Linked DNA regions of Oryzias latipes. The main gene of each other region encodes a partner of the protein of the gene in region 3 in a complex. Links are inferred from orthologs where the notes say so. Each region holds a gene or a part of one and is shown on either strand. Other genes may lie near its edges.

Evidence for each region.
Region 1: phf20 (region 3) and kansl3 share a complex: the UniProt entries of both Homo sapiens proteins name them as parts of the NSL complex. The link is inferred for Oryzias latipes from reciprocal best matches to the Homo sapiens genes PHF20 and KANSL3.
Region 2: phf20 (region 3) and KAT8 regulatory NSL complex subunit 1 share a complex: the UniProt entries of both Homo sapiens proteins name them as parts of the NSL complex. The link is inferred for Oryzias latipes from reciprocal best matches to the Homo sapiens genes PHF20 and KANSL1.
Region 4: phf20 (region 3) and ogt share a complex: the UniProt entries of both Homo sapiens proteins name them as parts of the NSL complex. The link is inferred for Oryzias latipes from reciprocal best matches to the Homo sapiens genes PHF20 and OGT.
Region 5: phf20 (region 3) and kansl2 share a complex: the UniProt entries of both Homo sapiens proteins name them as parts of the NSL complex. The link is inferred for Oryzias latipes from reciprocal best matches to the Homo sapiens genes PHF20 and KANSL2.

What each region holds. Positions count from the first base shown.
Region 1 is NC_019867.2:17,071,558-17,075,812, forward strand, and holds the start of kansl3 (KAT8 regulatory NSL complex subunit 3), read right to left. Parts: upstream 2,810-4,255; 5' UTR 2,634-2,809; intron 2,347-2,633; exon of another isoform or gene 2,300-2,346; 5' UTR 2,286-2,299; coding exon 2,077-2,285; intron 1,956-2,076; coding exon 1,785-1,955; intron 1,697-1,784; coding exon 1,606-1,696; intron 1,300-1,605; coding exon 1,114-1,299; intron 1,027-1,113; coding exon 898-1,026; intron 782-897; coding exon 665-781; intron 584-664; coding exon 485-583; intron 162-484; coding exon 90-161; intron 22-89; coding exon 1-21. UniProt on the Homo sapiens protein: Non-catalytic component of the NSL histone acetyltransferase complex, a multiprotein complex that mediates histone H4 acetylation at 'Lys-5'- and 'Lys-8' (H4K5ac and H4K8ac) at transcription start sites and promotes transcription initiation.
Region 2 is NC_019877.2:19,812,669-19,816,180, reverse strand, and holds part of KAT8 regulatory NSL complex subunit 1, read left to right. Parts: intron 1-2,423; 5' UTR 2,424-2,491; coding exon 2,492-3,512. UniProt on the Homo sapiens protein: Non-catalytic component of the NSL histone acetyltransferase complex, a multiprotein complex that mediates histone H4 acetylation at 'Lys-5'- and 'Lys-8' (H4K5ac and H4K8ac) at transcription start sites and promotes transcription initiation.
Region 3 is NC_019863.2:26,145,581-26,149,847, forward strand, and holds the start of phf20 (PHD finger protein 20), read left to right. Parts: upstream 1-1,457; 5' UTR 1,458-1,629; intron 1,630-2,579; exon of another isoform or gene 2,580-2,688; intron 2,689-4,267. UniProt on the Homo sapiens protein: Methyllysine-binding protein, component of the MOF histone acetyltransferase protein complex.
Region 4 is NC_019868.2:18,366,188-18,370,252, reverse strand, and holds the start of ogt (UDP-N-acetylglucosamine--peptide N-acetylglucosaminyltransferase 110 kDa subunit), read right to left. Parts: upstream 2,804-4,065; 5' UTR 2,478-2,803; coding exon 2,441-2,477; intron 1,125-2,440; coding exon 944-1,124; intron 1-943. UniProt on the Homo sapiens protein: Catalyzes the transfer of a single N-acetylglucosamine from UDP-GlcNAc to a serine or threonine residue in cytoplasmic and nuclear proteins resulting in their modification with a beta-linked N-acetylglucosamine (O-GlcNAc).
Region 5 is NC_019865.2:25,923,627-25,927,870, reverse strand, and holds the start of kansl2 (KAT8 regulatory NSL complex subunit 2), read right to left. Parts: upstream 2,804-4,244; 5' UTR 2,697-2,803; intron 2,652-2,696; exon of another isoform or gene 2,413-2,651; intron 622-2,412; 5' UTR 615-621; coding exon 364-614; intron 205-363; coding exon 32-204; intron 1-31. UniProt on the Homo sapiens protein: Non-catalytic component of the NSL histone acetyltransferase complex, a multiprotein complex that mediates histone H4 acetylation at 'Lys-5'- and 'Lys-8' (H4K5ac and H4K8ac) at transcription start sites and promotes transcription initiation.

The DNA.
Region 1 (4,255 bases), on a different chromosome or scaffold from region 3:
CAGATATTCCATCAGAGAAACCTGAAATGCAACAGCAGCAAATTAAAGAATGTACTGAATTCAGATTTTAAATAACTTCCAAGTCTTACATGACAAGCAATGAGAGCGCCGGCGTTCCAGCCAACCAGCACGATGGGCTTGTGGGGGAAGTGACTGTGAACCTGTTGGCAAAAGTAGCAGCACATGAATAAAGCTGCCGAAGGCAGACATCAATTTTTATTAAAAGATACGTTTGTATTGCAAATACAATCCATATGGTACTTTCATTTTAACTTCACTAATATTTTTGGTTGGAAAAACTTGAATGTTTCTTATTATATAAACTTAATGTCTTTAAGATAAATCCTGTTTTTGATGAATTGCTAAGAAAGCAACCAAACATAGAAAAAAAAATACAGTAAGATTTTTTTCCACATGCCTATTAAAAACAAAAAAGCTGCACTCAAATTGATTAATTTTACAATCAATCATAAAGATCCCCTACCTCCATGACCTTTGCCCTTACAGTCCCAAGCATGTGCTCCAAACACTGAGTGATGCTAATACTGGCTCCACTGTTTACGTGAGTGTGCACTGGGATCACCTGCAACACAATCATTTGTTGTTGTTTTAGCAATTGACACCAATAATCCGAATATCACAAAGACTTCAATGTGTTTCAGACCTTTCCCAAGCAGGAGAGCTGGGACTGCCAGAACCTCATCCGCCGTGTTGTGGCAAGAGCCGGATTGGATGGGGTTGACGGGGCAATAAGGATGAGAGGAGATCCTGGAAGCTTACTCTGAAACAATCAAAAACAGACAGGGATACAGATTGTGCAATCAGAATTTGCTGAGGTAAACACAAAAGTCATACAATGCTATTGTCACACCAGGAACTGAGGTCTGAGGCTTTTACCGGTTTGTTTTGAGAGAGAACCCCGACAGCCGGATCCCATGGACGTTTCAGTAGCAGCGACAGAGCCTCTGCACTTGGAGCTCCAGTTTTTGCAGTCGGAAGTAACATTCTGTCTATCAACGATGGCAGCTTTGCATGTGTAGAAAAAAATGTATTATTAAGATGGAAATCCATCAAAAAAAAAACTTTTTTTTTGTCCAGTCACTAAGATCATACCTTGGTTTTGAGAGTCTGCAACACATCAAGGTAGGCAGCGAGCATCGGCAAGCTTAAAGATTCGATCAGAGTGGTGTGTAACCACTGTGTCAGTTTGGTGTCCCAGTTCATACTGGCGAGTGCTTGTCGAACTTTCCTGGCACACTTGTCCACAGCAATCCTTCTTAAAATGGGTTCATTGGAAGCCTAAAGGGAAAAGGGCAATACAAGTAACAAGTAATCAATTTCATTCAAAATAAATATTTTTGCAGAAATTCTCTCTTTTAATTTAATCTCACTGACTACAGAGAAAAAAAACCTATTCTCAATTTAGGTAATTTTTTAAAATCTAAAACAGGAGAAAAGCATATATTACTTTGCTGTCTAATCGTTGACTAAGTTTACAATAAATATAAACAATACACCAGCTTTTAGATTTTTTACCTCTATGTATAAAAAAGAATCATTAAGAAAAACAAATCAAAGAAAAGAGACTTTCATCAAATACATTACATCTTCATTGGCGAGACGTGCTAATCTCTCAGCTTGTAGAGCTTTCAGGACTTTATTAAACAATTTGTTTTGTGCCACCGACCATCCTGTCCTGAAATACCACAAAACATAAAGTCAAATTGAAATCACTGCAACTGATGTTCATGGTGTTGGTTTTATGTGAGTTTATTATCTTTTACTTGTTTATATGTTCCTCCCAGTCATCTGGGGGTGGGGGGCTCTCAGCAACTGTTCGAGCAAACAGAACATGTCGCTCGCACTCCTTCATCACACCAAGAGCTTTATGGTTATCATACAAAGGAACTGGGGAGGGTGTGACCGTCTCCACATCTATCAGGGAATCAGAGTCTCTGCAAAACAGAAAACATGGTATAGATGTAAAACATAAAAATAGTTGAGCAAAAAAATCCATTTGTCCTACCCAGCTGATAAAAAAAAAAAAGTCTTATTTCATTAAGCATTCAAACTCACAATGATGGCTCAGGCTGGCGACGGGGGGCAACAAAAAGCGTCCGTGTGGGGCGTGCGCTGCTGGCATCTGGGTGAGCATTCCACGGTTTGGCATAGCTGTGGTCTAGAAACACCAAATCCAGCTCTCTCTCATGAGCCGACAGCTGGAAAAGCAAGGATGTACTCATCTTGTGAGCTGATGTCTGCAACTCTTTGTCCACACGATGCATCCTCTTCCTGGGCCCTGAAGGGCCCAAGGAAAAAAAACAACAACCCTGCAGTCAGAGAAAACTGACGGGAAAAAGAAAATTTTGTTTTACTTCATACACAGAGATCTGTTATATTTACCATCTAGAAAACTTACATTCAACAAAAGTAACTTCAAATTAGGTATCAAACAGTTGTGATCACACACATTAATGCATGAAAGTTACTTATTTGTAGCTTTCGTGAAGTCAAAATCTAAAGTTAAAGAGTAAAGGCGTATTCGGCGCGGTAAGCAAAACTAGAATGCTAACATTAGCACAACTAGCTCTGACAGCCAGGCAATGACGTTATCGCCTTTTCCCCCAGATTACCTGTTCCTTTGACTATTCCATGCTGACCATTGGAGTCTGAATTTATTTTTTAATCGAAAAAAATAAATAAAAAAATAATGGAAACGGGGAATTTGTTAATAAACGAGAGTAAGCTATCACCACAATGTTACAAGCGTCAAGCCCTCACTTCCTCCTGTTGTGTGGTTTGTTGCCAAGTTTATCTCCTTATCCTTCTCTTTGGAGAGGACAAAAGAAACATCATGGCATGGCTGTATTTCAACGAAACTGGCAACCCAGCAAGTAAGGCGCGTCAGTGTGAGACTCGCAAAATACGAACTGGATCTTCGGATTTTTGATTACCAGTACGTTGAAATTAGGATTCATAATTAATAGGAGCATGTCCAATTTGAATTATGTGTAAAGTTTTTACATTTAGTATTTTTGTGTATGTCACGCAGTGTACAAGCACTAAATCAATCACGGACCCCACTGTCAAAGTACCAACTTGCTGCTTCAAAGTTTTTCAACGTCAGAATCAAATGAAGGCTTTCTGTGAAATAAAAAGAGAAAAGTGAGATTTCTGTAAAAAGGCAAGGCCCCTATCAATACAGGGATCGTTTCATATCCACAGACAAACATTTCAAGAAGACATTCCTGTCATTGTAGGGGCCTAGGTCTACTGAAGTCAAATGTTAGTTGTTGGTTAAAAAGGTTATCAACATCAATAGAAATTTGTTCAGACTTGAAGTGATGGAAAACACTAAATAGATAAAGTAGTCTGCTTTGGGTATTATGTTAGCTCCGTAAAACCTATGAAATTTCTCAAAACATGATGTCCATTCTTCTCTTTTTATATTGAGCAGCTACATTATTGACTTTTGTGATTCCTGTGCACAACACTTTTAAAAATCCAAGGTATATTAGGCTTTTTCCCCCACAGTTAAATCCACCATTTTCTTCACCGTCTTGTTTGTGTTCAAGTGACAGTAGATGATGCACCACATCACAGGGCAGTAAAATAACAACAGTCAATGGTTTTTGCAGCCGTACGAACAATGTTAACAGAACAAACTGCTTTACAACTTTAAAAATATGCAGTTTGTTTGTGTTTAAAACAATTTAGTGTTTATTCAGCCAGTCTTGAATCTTTCAATCTGCCAAGAAGACACATGATAAGCAGAACAGCTTAGCTGTTTTTACACAGCCATAACAGGATGCTCACCGTTGCTCCTTTTTTTTTTTTCCAAATGTGTGTTTTAAAAAGTTAAATGGACACCCTTTCTTTTAAAAAACTGTTATTTTGTTATATTGATATTGTTCCTCTTTGGAAGTAAAAAAAAATCACTTATCAATACCAAAAACCGCATGAGAAACTTTGACGACACTTCTGTTTTCTTTATTTTCTTGACAAGCCACTGAATAAACAAAACACATCCCGTCATGGGAGATACAACTGCCACCGTGAAAATAAAGTTTAAAATGTATAATTTTTGGGGAAAAACAGCTGTTGCAACATTGTGTTGAAACAAACAAGAATACCACTTCTGCTGGTTCAGAAAATGAAGTAAAAATCCTTTTGGTTGGTCTTTGACCTTTTTGTGTGAGTTTTAAAAGTGGGATGGGGGACATTCACTATCTTTTTTAATGATTTGTTCCAAAGT
Region 2 (3,512 bases), on a different chromosome or scaffold from region 3:
ATTCGCTCCTGTTGCGTGAATTCGTTTTGTGTTGCGAGCGGAATGGGTGGTTTTAGGCAGATGGATTGCATTGCATAATCTGCTTCGGAAATACCAACATGGCGTAGTGCGCGCTGACTAGAAACTGCGGTGAAAAACGGAGCTCACATTCATCCGATCCTGCAGAAGATGCGCGGAGGCGCATCTCTTATCTGTTTGAAGGGAGGCTTTTTCAAAGTTTCTCACAGGCTTTCATTCTAGTCAAACGCATGTTAATCACCAAAACTACGTAAATGCAGTCTGTTTTCCTTTGAAAATCATTTTTGAGTTTTTTTATTTTTATTTGACAGTATTTCATGTTTAAGCCGCTCTGTAAATGATACTGGAAACCTGTTAAAATGACATCATGTGCTGTGCTGCATACTGACTTGACAAAGCACATGTAGGGCAGTAGGGTTTGGACTGTTTGCATTGGCTTCTGTTGTTCTCATCAGATATGTGCTGCCAATCCCTTTTTCCCTTAGATGCTTTCTCTTTTAGGAGGGGCTCTGTCAAAAAAATGAAAATAAATGCTTGTTTTTTTTTCTTTAAATAGTTGTTTGGGTGTAATGGGAATTATTTATTCACCTGAAATTCAGCTCGCTTTGTGCTGTTATTCAAACTATCTGAAGCATTCTCTTCCACAAGGTCAGAGCAGATCATTTCCATGGCTTTGTTGGAAAGTTGACTTCTTCACTCAGACATTTGGGAAAAATAATGTAGTAAACAAAAGACATATTTTTTCATCTTGAGTTGTTTAAATGTATTTTTGTCAGCCAGAATGCAGAAAACATTGCAGTGACTTTCATTTACATTCAAAATTTCAATTGCATTTTCTCCCAAAACTTTTGTGATCATGAATCGACTGCAGTTTAAATTGTGTATCATGACATTGAATATTGACATTTCTTCTACTCGTATCAGTTGTAGTGATTTTCCACTAAGTCTTAGTGTGTCACAGAACCTGTTATGCCACTTTTATGGTCTTATGTTGTATATGATCACTCTTTATTTGTATTGTTTTGTGACAAAATGTATTTGTAAAAAATGTATTGTAAAGCATATTTGATTATTTTGATTTAGCTTTTAAAAAATGTTTTTGTTCTAATTTGTTAAAATAGTCAGCACATTTCAATAAAGTATTTTCCACACTGTAAGGCGAACTTAAAGGCCTTCGTTTAAAAAAAACAACAATGTACTTTACAATCTGAAGCGCTTTACATATAGATACATTCTGGTTGTGTTATTGTGAATACGCTAACATGGCTATTGTGTAGCTTTGCCTTACTATTTTTTTTTAATCATGTTTCAGTTAAAAAGGTTGGGATTTAGTGTAGTCACAGTAACATTTGTTTTAGCTTTATTAGTCTTTTTTATGTTGCAAACAAGGTTGAGAGTTACAGGTATCATGAATATGCTAACGCTTCTACCATGGCTAACATTTAGCATGCTATAAACAAGTGCTACAGTTACTGTGAATGCAAGTCTGACTTACTGAACTTAAAGGCCTGTTCACACCGGGACGAATTTCGCCGGCGATTTTCGCCGACGTTTAACGCCTCGTGACTAAACAAAGGGCCCCAATGAGAGTGTGCACACCGACGCGAAAAAACGCCAGGCGTTAAAGCGTCAAAAAAAAAAACGCCTCGGGTTCGTTTTTTTTTTTCGTCGCGTCGAAATCTACTCGACCAATGAGAACGGCGCTTTTGCTCATGTGTCTGGAGCTTCTGAAATTACAGTAAAACACAACTTGGGGGCGCTCAAACACAAAACTGCCTTGCTGAGCACACATACCAGCGAAGAAGATAGACGCCAAGTAGCGTCTACACAGCCGCGAAGCAATAATGACGGACATTCTAAAACATCCCCGAACCAAGTACCAGTTGGAGCTACTGGTGCTTGAAATATTCATGTTTTCTTTGTTTGATTCTGACAAGCGTGTAAATACTTGCTCTCTTCTTCTGAGTGAAAAGCGACTTTAAGAAGCGTAAAGTTGCGCAGCGCCACCTTGTGTACAGGAGTATTTCTGTTTTACATTAAGCGCCATCTAATGTCAGGGAATGAAATTGCATGTTCACTCCACTCATCGTCAGCGAAAATCGCCTGGGTGTGAACACAAAAAACGTGGCGAAAAACGCTGGCGAATAACGCCTGGCGAATATTCGTCCCGGTGTGTACGGGTCTTAACTCTGACTCTTTAGTCTCACTTAATGGCCTTATAGTTTAGTGTGGTTGACAGTTTTGGTATCTTTTATTTACCTTTGGCACATAAATATCAGTATTTTTACTCTAATTGTATTATAATGGGTAAGAACTTGGAATTTTATGTTACTACAGAAATATTTCAACTTTTTTGATTGACTCTTTTTTTCTGTCACTCTGTTTTCCTCCACGTCTTTTCCCAGGCTGTCCTCAGGTGGGGCAGTAAGCGGGTGGAGTGGAGCAGGCCGCGGTGCCCGTCCCTCTGCACTGCATGGCTGCGATGGCGCCCGCTCTCACCGACGCCCCAGCTGAAGCTCACCACATCCGCTTCAAACTGGCTGCCCCATCCTCAAGCCTCTCGCGAGCCAGTGGAGAGAACAACAGTAACGCCAGCAACATCCTCATCCACAGCAGCGGCCCCGCTAAGTGCAAGGTCACTTCTGAAGAGTGCCCCCTCGACTTTTGTGGTGGTGATCAGGAACAGCAGCAGCAGCCTCAAGCAGACTCTGTGTCTCAGGCCTCTGCCCTGGGAAAACTCCAGCCACTGGTGGCTTCCTATTTATGCTCTGATGTGCCACCCGTCTCTGCAACTAAGGAGTCAATCAAGCTGCAAGGAGTCATTCTTAAACAGTCCGTGTTGAAAAACCACAGAATACTGCCCACCTCCCTGCTCAACGGTGGGGGAGACTTCATCTTGAGGAAGAGGCAGGCAATCGAGCTCTCTGGTGGACAGTTAAAAAGCCTCATGAGTGGCAGCACCAACGGAAGTGGCCAGCCCATGGCACCTGTCAATGGTCTGGCCAAGAAACTTGCCACTGTGTCAGGCTCTAGCTGTGTGGTTGCAGTGAATGGTGATAAGCCCGCTGCTGCTGCCACGGACTCCCAGTCCCAGAACATGCCGCTGGAGTCGGAAACCATATCAGGGCATACTCCTGTGAAAGGAACCCTCAAACAGAAGCATTCCACAGAGGTTTCTCAAAACACAGATGGAGAAAATTTTGAATCACCAGTGCTTCATTCTGCTGCACTTTCCCCTCTTACCTACGACAACTCAAACTCCTCTGAACAGTTAAATTTGGAGGAATCTGGTTCACATGCACCTTTCAGACAGCTTCAGGGTTCTGACAGAGAGAGACCGGGTAGCAGCCATCAGGGCTTTTCGCCTTGCACCACAGCGCCGCAGCCTCCTCTGCCCGGTGGTTCATGCACAGACGGCCTTGATGCTCAAGTTAAACAACGTACACTTCTCAACAGCAGCCGCCAAGCAGAGATTGAAAACAGGTTACGGCGCC
Region 3 (4,267 bases):
CTTCTTGAGTTGTGTGTGCATGTGTGCCTTTTTTGTGTTTACCATCTGAACATGACAGTCATTCATAAATAAAAGGTTTCTTCAACTGTAATGTATGGAATCATGGTTAGTTATTACTGCTATTGGGATTGTAGAAGGAGGACCGTCAATTTATTTATAGGGTAACCAAAACTACAGCAAAAAGATTATTGGGCTACATTTTTCAAAACATGATTTTCAGTAAAAATTCCAGAAGAGAAATTAATGTAAACTGCACTTAAAAAAAAAGCAAAATCTTTGCTCTATATGTGTTCATACGTTCCAACGTCTGCCTGTAGCCCCATCACATTAGTAGAACATTTATTAGCTGAAAATGGAAAGTCCACAAACTCTACTATCAAATGTATGCATAATCTACACTATAATACCTTGAAGGAAAAAACTAACAATGCAGAAAAAACAATCTTTGATTTGAGACAAGAATAGAGAAAGGAAAGACATTCAGGAAACTACAACTATTTTGGGGGGGAAATAGAAATTGTAGAAATATTTAAAGGATATGGTTTGTCTTTTATTGGTTGTTTTTTTACACCAACAGCACAAAAATTACCAGTGTAACCACTTCAAGCAACAAGAGAAAAATAACATAGCATTTTTCAGATTATGGAGTGGAAGCCAGGTCATGTGATCTAATAAATGACATAAAACGACTCCATATTCAGCCTGTTTTGACCTGTACGTTGATTATCTTAGCGATGATTAGACTTGTCTCTGTCATGAGTTCAATCCAATCCTTGTATTGAGGCTTGTGGAAACCTTTCCAATTCCTTAGAATAAGCCTCCCAGCCACCATAAATTCAGACCAAAACTGTTCTGATGGGAATCCAGGGGGTCTAGCAGACTGATCTCCTCACAAATATAGTTCTGGTAATATACAACTGCATTTTCTCTTCAAGCCAGAAAGGAAGCACAGAGGAACATTACCATAATGTGTGAGGATTCAAGGAGTACTGCCATTTTCAGTAAACAGAACAGTTTCACTGTCATTTCCAATAGTTATTGTCTTGCAGCAATCACATCGTAAACAACTTTGATGTAGTATTGTAATAATGGTGCACAATTTTTTATAATGAATACATATATTTCTGGCATGAGACTGTCTTTTTTTTCCAGCACAGTGTAAATATTTAATTTTTTTGTTATTCTCTTGTTAAAAAATGTCAACACAAGTTAATTTGCTATATAAATATACGTATTTACTTTATTTTAATTAATTTACAACTGATTTGCAAAAAAAATATGACTGATTAATCCTAACTTTTATAGTACGTATTATTTATTTCATCCTTAAAGATAGGTATTTTCTTTAGTTATATCTTTTCTTGGTAAACATTCAAAATGATAAACAAAGCATGTTTTTTAGGAATGGAATGACAACAGAAAGGTTCTCATTGAAAACATGACAGCGTAGGCCGGTCTGTCGCGCATGCGCATCGTAGCGCTACTTTGCCCGCGCCGGTAGAGCATGCAAGGGAGAGAAATTCAACTGCGTGGTACGGAGCAGCCAGGCGGAGGCAGCGGTACCTGCGCTTTTGACGGGTTATATTGCATATTTTTCACCCGACCCGTCAAAGACTGACTGGAAAGCAGGTAAAAATCTAAAATTTTGCCCACACCGTAATTTCTAGGCTGCATATGGTGACAAGGCCCGCTCGGTGAGTGCTTCCCAACGGTTTGACTGATGCCGCACGTTGGCTTTCTGGACTTCAAAACAAACGTGACGAAGTAGCTTCAGAAATGTCTGTTGACATATTCACAAGCTGCATTCGGGCGGTTAGTTAGATATATGCAGTGTCCCTTCGCGTTGGGGCTGTTGCTTCAAGTCTCTAGGTGGTTTCTCAGTTGGACAAGTTTGTTGATTCGCGTCTCCATGCCGCTCTTTTCATAGTAGGAAAAGTACGGAGAAGTAGGCCTAGCGCGAGGCCACAGCGAGCCTTGGTGAGTGACAGGCTACTTGGCCAATCCAGTGTTAACTCCCGCCCCCATGGCAACCATTCCACCATTCATGTTTGTCGAAAGCACGTGACGTCAGTGTGCTTTCTTCGCGCTACGCCCTCTGATTATAAAACACCGGACAATAAACTGTCCTTAACGGATCAAGTGGTCATCAGCAGTATAATGTAATAATTGCCAAACATTGTGATTTTTTTTATTTTAGATATTTGTATTTTAAGATGGCGACTGCTTTAAATAGTTGAAGTGCGCTATAAGTACAATAGAGTTGTAGACTGGAGGGTTTTTTATTTTATTTTTTAAATAAAACAAGCTAATCTGATATTTAAAGTAAATCACCTTTTAATAATGTAGCATTAATATATTTCCTGCCACAGGGCATGGTTGTTTCCGAAGATGTCACACCGGTTGCCCCCGGTCCAAAAAATAAAATAAAACACATATTAAATAATGTGTATCGTTTTGAAGTTTATATAAGTCAACACGCTTCTGTGCTTGCATATGAAAAACATACATGAAACGTTAGAAAACCACAACAGCCCTTTCTATTGTCTTCTATTGTGTCTATACGTGAATTGGGTGAGCAGAAAACACGTGGGTCGGGTGGTGTGAAGACATCCGGTTTGTAGGTTGCACTGAAAGCAAGCTACTCCAGACTCCACCGGCTATGGCGAACCGAGTCATTCCCGGACCAGAGTAAGATTTATCCATTTTTATAGCTTGTTGCCGTCTTTCTAAAGCCCTCCTGTTGTTTGTGATGTGTGATTGCGCTGCAAATGGAGAGGCGGGATTGCTGTTGCCCCCCCTCGCCGAACCGCCGAGTAGACCCGCCAAGGCCTATGTGATTGCAGAATGACTTGGAATATCGGTATTAGACCGGCGCTTAACGCCTTGTAGGGATCGTTTAGTTGTTTTTTCTTTTACATAAATCCTTCCGCTGTTTATCCGTAGCGATATGACTTTACGGTGATTGAGCATCAGACAATCCTAATGTCGCTTATCATGTTGTTACCTTACCAGGAGATTCCTTTCCTGTGGATAATCATACATGTAGACGACGATGCTGCAGCTATGAATCACCTCAGGAGTCGGTATTTTCAGATTTAGACACAGATGTCCTCTTCTTCAGTTTTGATCAAGGCTCTCCAGCTATTGGCCACATAAATACTACTCATTTTTACATTTCCTCTTTATGCAGCCCCATGTTGCAGCACGTGCAACCTGCAGTTATTTATTTATTTATTTAGGTAATTTACAGTGGAATTATTTTGGCCAGCATTGAATTCAAAGACCCACTCTGGTAGAAAATGTTTCTGGTGATTTCAACATGTCCTAATGGTATTTTTTTTAAGATGGAAGACCAATATAAAGAAAATGAATATTAAAATTGCATTTCTGAATATTTCTTCATTAATATTGTTGTGAATCAAGAGCAGATGAAAAAAATGCAGTTTGAAAAAGAGCTTATTTGTGATATAGAAAATACACTGGGCGGGGTCTGCTGCATTCTGATGCAGACGACTAGATCCATGTACCATTTTTTTCTGCCCTATAAAGTGCTCTGAATTATAAGTCGCAGATGCATAAAAGGGGTATGGGGGCATAACGAAGAAGACAAAAACATATATGTTGCACTTTTAGGAGAAATTTAACAAAATGCTGGCCAGTAACGGATATTTCATCTTGAAAGGCAAATCATACAGATTAGAAAATAATAGACTGAATATATGCACGTTTCACCAAAATAACTCATTGATAGATATTTATATTCATGAAACATGGGAGGATTTTTGTATATCAGTGCAATATGTGAAGAATTTTAAAACAACCACAACATAAAGAACATAATAAATCGACTATGCTCTTTATGTTCTATTTCAGTTCACTAAATTCATTGAATTCTTCATCCTCCGTGTCCTTTGGAACTATTCCACCAAGCCCAGCGTGAGACTGAGTGGTGCTTCTTCTTCTGCATTGCAGTCAATAGCAAATAGTGATACACACACCTACAGTTCCCTCTGGATGTTTTTAGTGGGACAATGACAAATGTATGAACCTCTTTATTTAAAAAAAAATCACATGAGTTGTACCCCTGGCTAAACCTTGCAAATAAAAAAACTGACCTGTATTCAGTAAATTACAGTTCGCCTTCATTTTCTTCGTCTGAGCTGACATCTGGCTCAAAACTACAGCTGGATAGCTCCACTATTGCCTTCTATCTATTATTTTATTTTTTTGCACTGGTAATGTTAGGTTGGGGTTGTGAGGGGCTGTA
Region 4 (4,065 bases), on a different chromosome or scaffold from region 3:
GTATTGCACAGCTTGATATCGCAATAATGATACATTTGTGACTTATTGTGCAGGCCTAATTTACATCATGCTGTCTGCATTCTGACTTTCTTCTAATGAGAGTGGATATAAAAAAGGAGTGTTTTCTACAAAAGAAGCACCCCTCAGATTTGTGACAAATGTAGAGTTGGCCTGTGCTTTCAACTGGAATAAAACTGCCTCAAAGTCTGCCATATGATCAAAAAATGTCCCTTCTATGTTTGCAGAAGCTGTAGAAAAATAAAATACAATCGTCCAGACAAACAAAACTGCTTGTGCTACTTCAAACGAGTTAACAATAATTTCAAAACATTTAGATCAGTTAATCTAGGTTTTTTATAAGAAAAATAGTCATTACAGTTATTACAATTTGAGTAAATTTGGAAGTTAAATATGTACTGAATAAAGAGGCAAAAGACTTCACTCTAAAGTTTTGAGACAATTTATTGTTAATTAAAATAAGGCTGGGGAGGCCAATTACAATAAGCTTTGTGTTGACTTTAGTTCAAGGTTTATCAGTTCTGTCGGTGATTAGAGTGAAAATACTAGGAATAAATGTGTTGCATGATTAAAATTCTCTATACTGGAAACAGTATGGTAGATGCTGATTGTCGATGATTTGTGACTTACCTAAAATCATATCTATTTTATGTGTTCTTGTCAAATTTACCATCTCAATTTTATTTAGCATCTACTTGAAAACAAAAACATGTTTTCATAACTGGAAATAAATTCAGGTGTCAAAGGATTAGGGAATCATCAATAGAGGCCTCTTTAAGAAGTAGAAATAGCACCTCAGCTAAAAAACGGCTGGTTTCTTCTAACAATAAAGAAAGTGTTGGAAATACCATTTCTTGATCCTTTCATTTGTAAAGCCCTTCCATTCTGCTGCTCTCATTTGCCAGCCTGTATAAAGTGTTCTCACCTGTCAAGTCTTCTGCACTGGAAGTGAATGGAGGACAGCAGCAATAACACTCCAGTATTATCAGGCTCCTGCCTCCACAGCTGCATGCAGTGGCGCTCGGCCGCCTCAAAATCTCCTGACTGATACTCCCGGTGTGCAAGCTCAGCCAACCCTTGGAAGGAAAGCATACGTTTTGTTGGTTCTGGACAACCAACACAGGCCAAGGAGGGGGGAAACGACATGTTAGAGGTGATGAAAGAAAATAAAGACGACAAATGAAAAAACAGGAAGAAATAAAAATAGAAGCAAACATGACAATGTTTGTATTAAAATAAATGCCTGACAAATGTAACTTCAAAATGTGATAATGGGTAAAAATGATGACGTCACAAGAGGGAACATAAGGGGGACACTTCACAACTTTTATACAAACTATAAGCATCTGTACATATAAATTAATTACAATTTAATGTATATAAAAAATGCACACTGACGCTTTTTTCCAACTAAGGAAACGCATAATTTATATGTCAGACTAGCTTTTCCAAAATGCAGAGTAAACGAAAACGTTATTAAGTCTATTCGTCATCAAACAGGTGCATCTTGATAGAGAACAGGGAGATTGTGGCTCCACCTACTGTAGCATCTACGTCACTGCTACAAGCTTTTTCCAACAGCATTTTTATCATCTGCTGCTGCTAATTCACGATTGAATTTTAATCTTAAATTTCTTTACATATCATCCATTATAAGAAAAATGCTACACGAACAAGTTAAAAACACGATTTTCATCGAAGTGGGTCTTTATTGTGGGGGTGGGGTGTGTGGAAAAAAACTGCACCACAACGCACGCAAAATCTGCTAATAATCGCGTTAAAGTTAGTTTATCGTTAAAACTGAGCTTGTTCGTCATTTTCTAATTTTGAAAAACATATATCCCTAACATTCGCCGTCCCTCCCAAAAAAAAATGAATTAAAAAATAAGATATCTTTGAAGGCATTTTAGTAGGACACTTCATTTCAGCGCCCTTTATTGCAAACCGAAACGCCCCTTAGCTGGCGGCCATTTTCTCAGACAAAAACCACGAGATAAATGTTCAGTTTAGGATTTAAAAAAATAAAATGTATGAACATAGTGACGCCCAAGGAGGAAAAATGTTGCAGCGCCAAAGATTTAATCGTTTCCTACCCATTTAAACGTCACATCTACAAATACCAACGCTAGCTCGTCTTGACTTAATACTGTTTAGGTTAAGACGCCAAATGAAGGAATATTCGGTACAAATTGGCGAAAAATATAATAAAATAGCCTTATTATAATATATCTATTAATACATATAAATTGGTACCGTGGTGTTAGAAGAGCGGCGCTACTGGTTTACATACTAGCATCCTCATTTACCTTATTGCTGTGGATTACCAAAAGGGTCATTGTTAGATTAAAATTTACTTTTAAAAACTATTTTAAATCGTTGCTTCTTTCTAAAGGAGGTGCTTTTATTTTTTTGAGCCACTAACCTGTACTGTCTGCCACGTTTCCCACAGAACTCGCCATCTCCCCAGCAGTCTTCGTTTCTTGCACGGCGGTCGTCAATGTGTCGTCTGGGAGCTCACAGCTTCAGAGAAAAATAGATGTATTTCTTATAACTAACTGTGGTCTTTCTGAGACGAAAACTGAAAGCACGTTGTTGTCTGGCTAGGTAGACCGGGTTATAGTTACCTACTAATCTCGTATTCAGAATAAATTTCCTAAAGCCCTACCTTAAAATGCCGCTGTTTGGGTATATTTACACAGATAATGTAGTTACTGCACCTACATATGACATAAAAAATATACCGCTACCGTTCACGATATTCTATCTGCACAACAAAGCAGCTAGTGAACGTAAAATGGCGAATTGGGTGGAACTCGTTTTTGTGATCAACTAGATCCTGACACCGGCATTGATTGAAAATAATAGTTGGGCATTAATACATGTGACTATAAACCCAATATACATTATTATTTTTATTGTATTAAGAAGTTATACATATACATATATATAACCTGATGTAAAATTATACACTTAAGGTAAAACCACGCGGAAGAATACAATGGTGCAGTGAGACTCAAACGGTAAAAGGAAGCAGCACTGCTCGGAGGTATCTGAAAGAGTCACGTGTCAGCTGTGCTGCGAGGAAGTGGAAGGTGCGCTGGTCTAGTAACAAACACATCAACATTACATAACCGTGGGTTGTTTGATTTCTTTTTATTTTCTTTTAGTTCTTCTTGTAGTTTTATTTATCTTTTTATTTTATTTTAGTTCTTCTTGTAGTTTTTATATATATAGACACACACAAAAAACATATTCAAATACACACAAAAGAAGTTCAGATAAGATTTGTAATTCCAGGGACATTTAACAGGTGTTAGCTTTTATTTTATTTTTAACTGCAAAGGGTATTTTCTTAATGTGTAAAGCAAGCATTAAATGTACAATCTACTGTTAAATATCTTTCCACATAAATACTGTTTACTAATCCTTACTAGTTACATATATTTTGTCAACTGATTTTTTTTTAAACTGTAGCCTGATGGATAGAGTTCTGGTTAAATCAACATCAATTGCTATGTGAAGGAAGTTGCCAACAGGCTCAGTTTACATTGAACATCACTGACAGGATGTGTTTGCACCAGAATAACTATTCTTCTAATCTTCAAGTCCCGAGCTTAAACAACTTTATTTCTATTTCTTTTTAAAATATTTCTAGGACTTGCAGTATGTTTATGGTTTTTTTCAACCAAGCAATTTTCCTGCAAGATTAATCGACATCTTCTAACACATCTTATTTTTTGCCAATATTTAATGTTTTTCCTTAATATGTTTTGCCAACATTGATATCCAAACATAAACCCTTGTTTTTCTTTTCTTAATTATGTTTAAATTAATTAGTTTTTGTTTTAACCAAATGTTTTTTAACCCTGTTTTTGCAAACAGCAAATGTACATTTAAGATAAAAAAACAAACAAACTCCTGTTTCTGACATATTAAAAATGTTGCTGGTGTGCTGATGCTGTGATCTGTCATAAATTTGCAAATAAACCAGTTTACTGCAAATTTTAAAATCTACTGTTTACCCTTTTTTCTCTACTGTTTTAATCT
Region 5 (4,244 bases), on a different chromosome or scaffold from region 3:
AAAACCTCAGAATGAAGCCAAAGTTTCTCACCAAGAACTCGGCTAGCTTCGGAGCGCCCTCCGTCCTGACTCTGCGTCTCTCCACGACTGTAGCTACTGAGCTGAGACAACAAAGCCTCTGGAGATGGACCAGAAGAAGTCTTCCTCATCTGCGCTCGGAGGGTCATGGCGCTCCTACGAGCGTGCTCCGCACAGAATGTTACTCTACCAAAAAAAAAAAAAATGTATAAATTAGGCTAATAGCAGCAAACAGACTGTTTATTACATGATTTTCTTATTGCCCTGTGACTGAGCTTCCACAGGGCAGAAATACAACTGCTGTTTCATTCTTTTGCCAGCTGATGTAAATGACCTTCCACCCACCCATCTTTCCTCTCGGCCTTTGGCGCAGCATTGGGGCAGCGCTTGCCATTCTTGGCAGAGACGTAGCTACACTGTTTGTATGGGGCGTTCTTGTCCTCCAGAATGTGTTTCATACAGAACTCCAGACCCTCCAAGCGAGGCTGTGAACATGGTCGCTGGGTGAAGGAGCAGACCTGGGGCTCCTGGGGTCGGCTTGCTTGGGTTGTCCGGTTACGACTTGAGGGTAAAACGTGAATTCGTATTCTGTTCATTTCAAGTCTGGGAAAATAAAGTAAATACTTAAACTAAGCATATTTCTCTACTACTTTAGAAATCACTTAAGAAACAAATAATCCAGTAGTATTCTTAAACCACAGAAAATAATAAATTTAAAGGTTTATTGCATTAAAATTTTACATAAATATCTTCTGAATCTTTGGAACATACACATCTTTTACCTCTTACTCTAGACACTTTGATAATTTGCATTTTAAATCTGAACCACAAACTTTGGCAGATCTTACATCAACAAGTTCTGCTTTTCATAATTCTTTGGTTCTGTGATGCTGAAAATAATAAATTTCTACTGAAAAAAATAACAGTTTAAAATTAAGAAGAAAACAAAAGCCTCTTCATGCCTAACCCTATTATCATTCAGAATGTTTTTTCCATTGAAAATGATGCTGATGCAAAAATAGTGACATACAGCATGAAGAGGTCAAAGACTAGATTTAGCCCAGAATAAGTATTACTAAAAAGGCTAAGATATCATACATACATACACTTAACCCTTAGAAAGAAGTCAGTGGTCTTTTCTGTGTCAAGACAAAAGAAATGTATTTTATTGAAAAATGAACCAAAATCTTAAGAATAAAAAGCAAAACATTACTTTAAGGGACCTATATCGTGCTATTTTTAAGGCCTTTCAGAGTAAACAATAAGCATTTAAATGATACGTTACCTTTGGCACAAAAAAAAATGATTTTTTTAAACGAAATATTAGGTATTTTTGCAGCTCATTTTCCTACCCATAAGTAACCCCCTTTTGCTCCATATGAGTGCCCCCCAATTCATGGCATTGACCTAGAGTGCGTTTCTCCCACGAAAACAAACAAGATCCAAACTTTTGCCTCACTTTGTTACATCACAATGTGAGAACCAGCTTGTTTTTGTGGATTGGGAGGGGCTGGTGCTCAGACAGCAGGTTTTAGGAGGAATACTCAGAGATCAGTCAATGGGTCAAAATACCGCCTTGTGGTTATTTTTTATAAGGAATGAACATTTTACTACACCTAAAAGCTCAAAAAAGTGATTTTTGAATAATATAGGCCCGTTGAAATAAAAAAAGACAAGATTTCTATAACTTTTATTTTTACAGATATGATTGCGGTATATTACATATATATTTTGGTAAATATATAGCCCAAAAAGAAGAAAGAAATTACATTTTTTCTTTACCCTTAACTATTTTTCAATAATTTGAATAAAACACGTTTATGTTAAACTGTTGTGAAAACCATAACAAGACAAAAAGGGGGATATTTAATCTTGACAAAGAAGCATCAGTAAGGCAAAATTGTCAAATCATTGCTCTCTTTCAACCACCTTTTCCCACCATGTCTTCTTTTTATTAAAATTAATTTCGTAATTCGCAAAATTCAACAAGAAACTGACTTTATGGCAACACGGACACCAAAAAAATAGTTAGATCCATTGCTTTCAAAATACAATGAAAAAATCAAAACACCTATAATCTTTTAATTGGCCAAAGTAAATCGCTAAATAACATAACATAGAAAAAAACTGATCGCTCTGTCTGAATATATGTGTATTGCTGCTCCAACATTAAACCACAGAAACTAAAAACAGGGGTAAACGTCCGACACGTTGGGTCAACCAGCTCAACAACAATAACGCAACAACAGTCACACAGAAGCTAGCCTTTTTAATTTTTTGCAGACAGTGTGTCAGTATGTATGCTTATGTTGACAAAAAATAAAATATTAATAATATAATATTAACAATAAGAAAAAATAACCCACTATAACCAAATAAGTAGACTTTACATACATGTAAATGTCGACGTAAACGTAAGTACGTCTGTTTGACTCGAACAACGCGCTGAAAGGCGCTCCAGCCCGCCTCCATCTACTGCGTCATCCTCTAGGCTAAGGAGGCGCCATCTTTGCTAGCCGGCTAAACCACATGCTATCCTTTCCTTTTAACATTTCCAGGCTATTAAATCAAATTCGAAAACATAAAACAGTGGTTTGTCTTCTACCATGTCATTATTAAAATGTCTCAGACCCAGAATAGTAGCAGAAACGCATCGCTTTTTGTGAAAAACTGCCTACCTTCCGCTGTGCAATATGCTAACTCTGCCGTTCCAACGACTTGCCTGCACTCCCTGAATCGTTGCTGGACTTTGTGTGATGTCAATAAGCCCCACCTCCTTGAAGTTGATTGGTCGAAATGTTACTCCAGGAGACGGTTCATTGGCTAGTCTAGATGTAACTCAAAAGACCACGTAACCGCCCTCTGACCGACGCAGTGAATACAATTCAGTTGAAAATGACTGATTACTCCATTAATTTTGATATTTAATATATTTATTGACTTTCAGAATAAAGCAACCACAATATATAAAAAAGATCAGTGTTCACATATACCTTTTTAACGAAAACAAATTGAATTCTAGACCTGAGAGCCAATAAAAACACCTGACATTAAAAAACATAACTTAGGATGTTGTAATTGTGATTTTTGCATTGTTAGGTTGCACACGTGTCTTGGGCTTGTTATATGGTTTTGCTATAAAACGTGTTTTAATAGCTTTCATGTATCCTTAATACTTGAATGTATTATTTCTTAGATCAAAATAAAGCATGTTTTAAATGGACGCACCAGAAATCCACACTATTTTTAACCATGAAAATGTAACACTTAATTCAACTGCATAAGCAGGAAAAAAAAAATTAAAATTCAGTGCATTCACCATTTCCCTGTTACAACCAAAAACCTTTACTGCCCAAGTAAAGACCTTTTTTCAGCACACTTTTAATTCATCAAGGGAAAACAATATCTTACATTAGTTTGGCTGGTTTGATGTACTCCAAACAGCTTTGTTTTTATAAAAACTTTTATAAAAAAAAAAAGACACCAGTTAGGAGCAGGTGGACTAAAATTCATAATAAGCTACATGTGTGAAATGTACAGGAGATACCAGATTTCTTGTCAACAAATTGAACTTTTCCACTGTTGAGCGCTTATACAAAATAGAAAACATTCATTTCTCATTATACTCAGGGTCCTGCAATGGAGGTATTTTTAACAACAATTTCATTTTACACAATTATATTATGCATGCAAAGGTTTTTGAGGAATGCACATAGCAACCACTTTAAATTATGTGCTAAAAAGTATCATCAAAAACCTTTACATTTCATGAAACAGAAATATATTGTCACGTTTTCCCCATTTATCTTGTTGACAAGTCCTTCATCATGACCATTATGGGTGGATATGTTAAACCTCTGACGAGTTCTATGCATGTCCTTAGTATGAAGTGTATTCATAGGAGAACTGAATATGGATATTTCACAACCATTTAAAACAATGACTGCAACACTTAAAAAAGACTAAATGTACAAGCTTTCCTTACTTTACATTTCCATTTTTTTTTTGGCAATTTTCCATAACAAAATGTCCAAAAAATATTCTTTTACACATACTGCAGTTTTGTTTTCATGTTAACCCAATAATGTCCATAAAATAAAACAGAACGCCCAGGGCTATCATTTCTATATGGCTCTTTAAAGAAAGAAAGAAAGAAAGAAAACTAAAAACTGAAGATGGCTTTGGAAACATGCACTCTCAAATGAGCCGATACACTTTTAGGACGT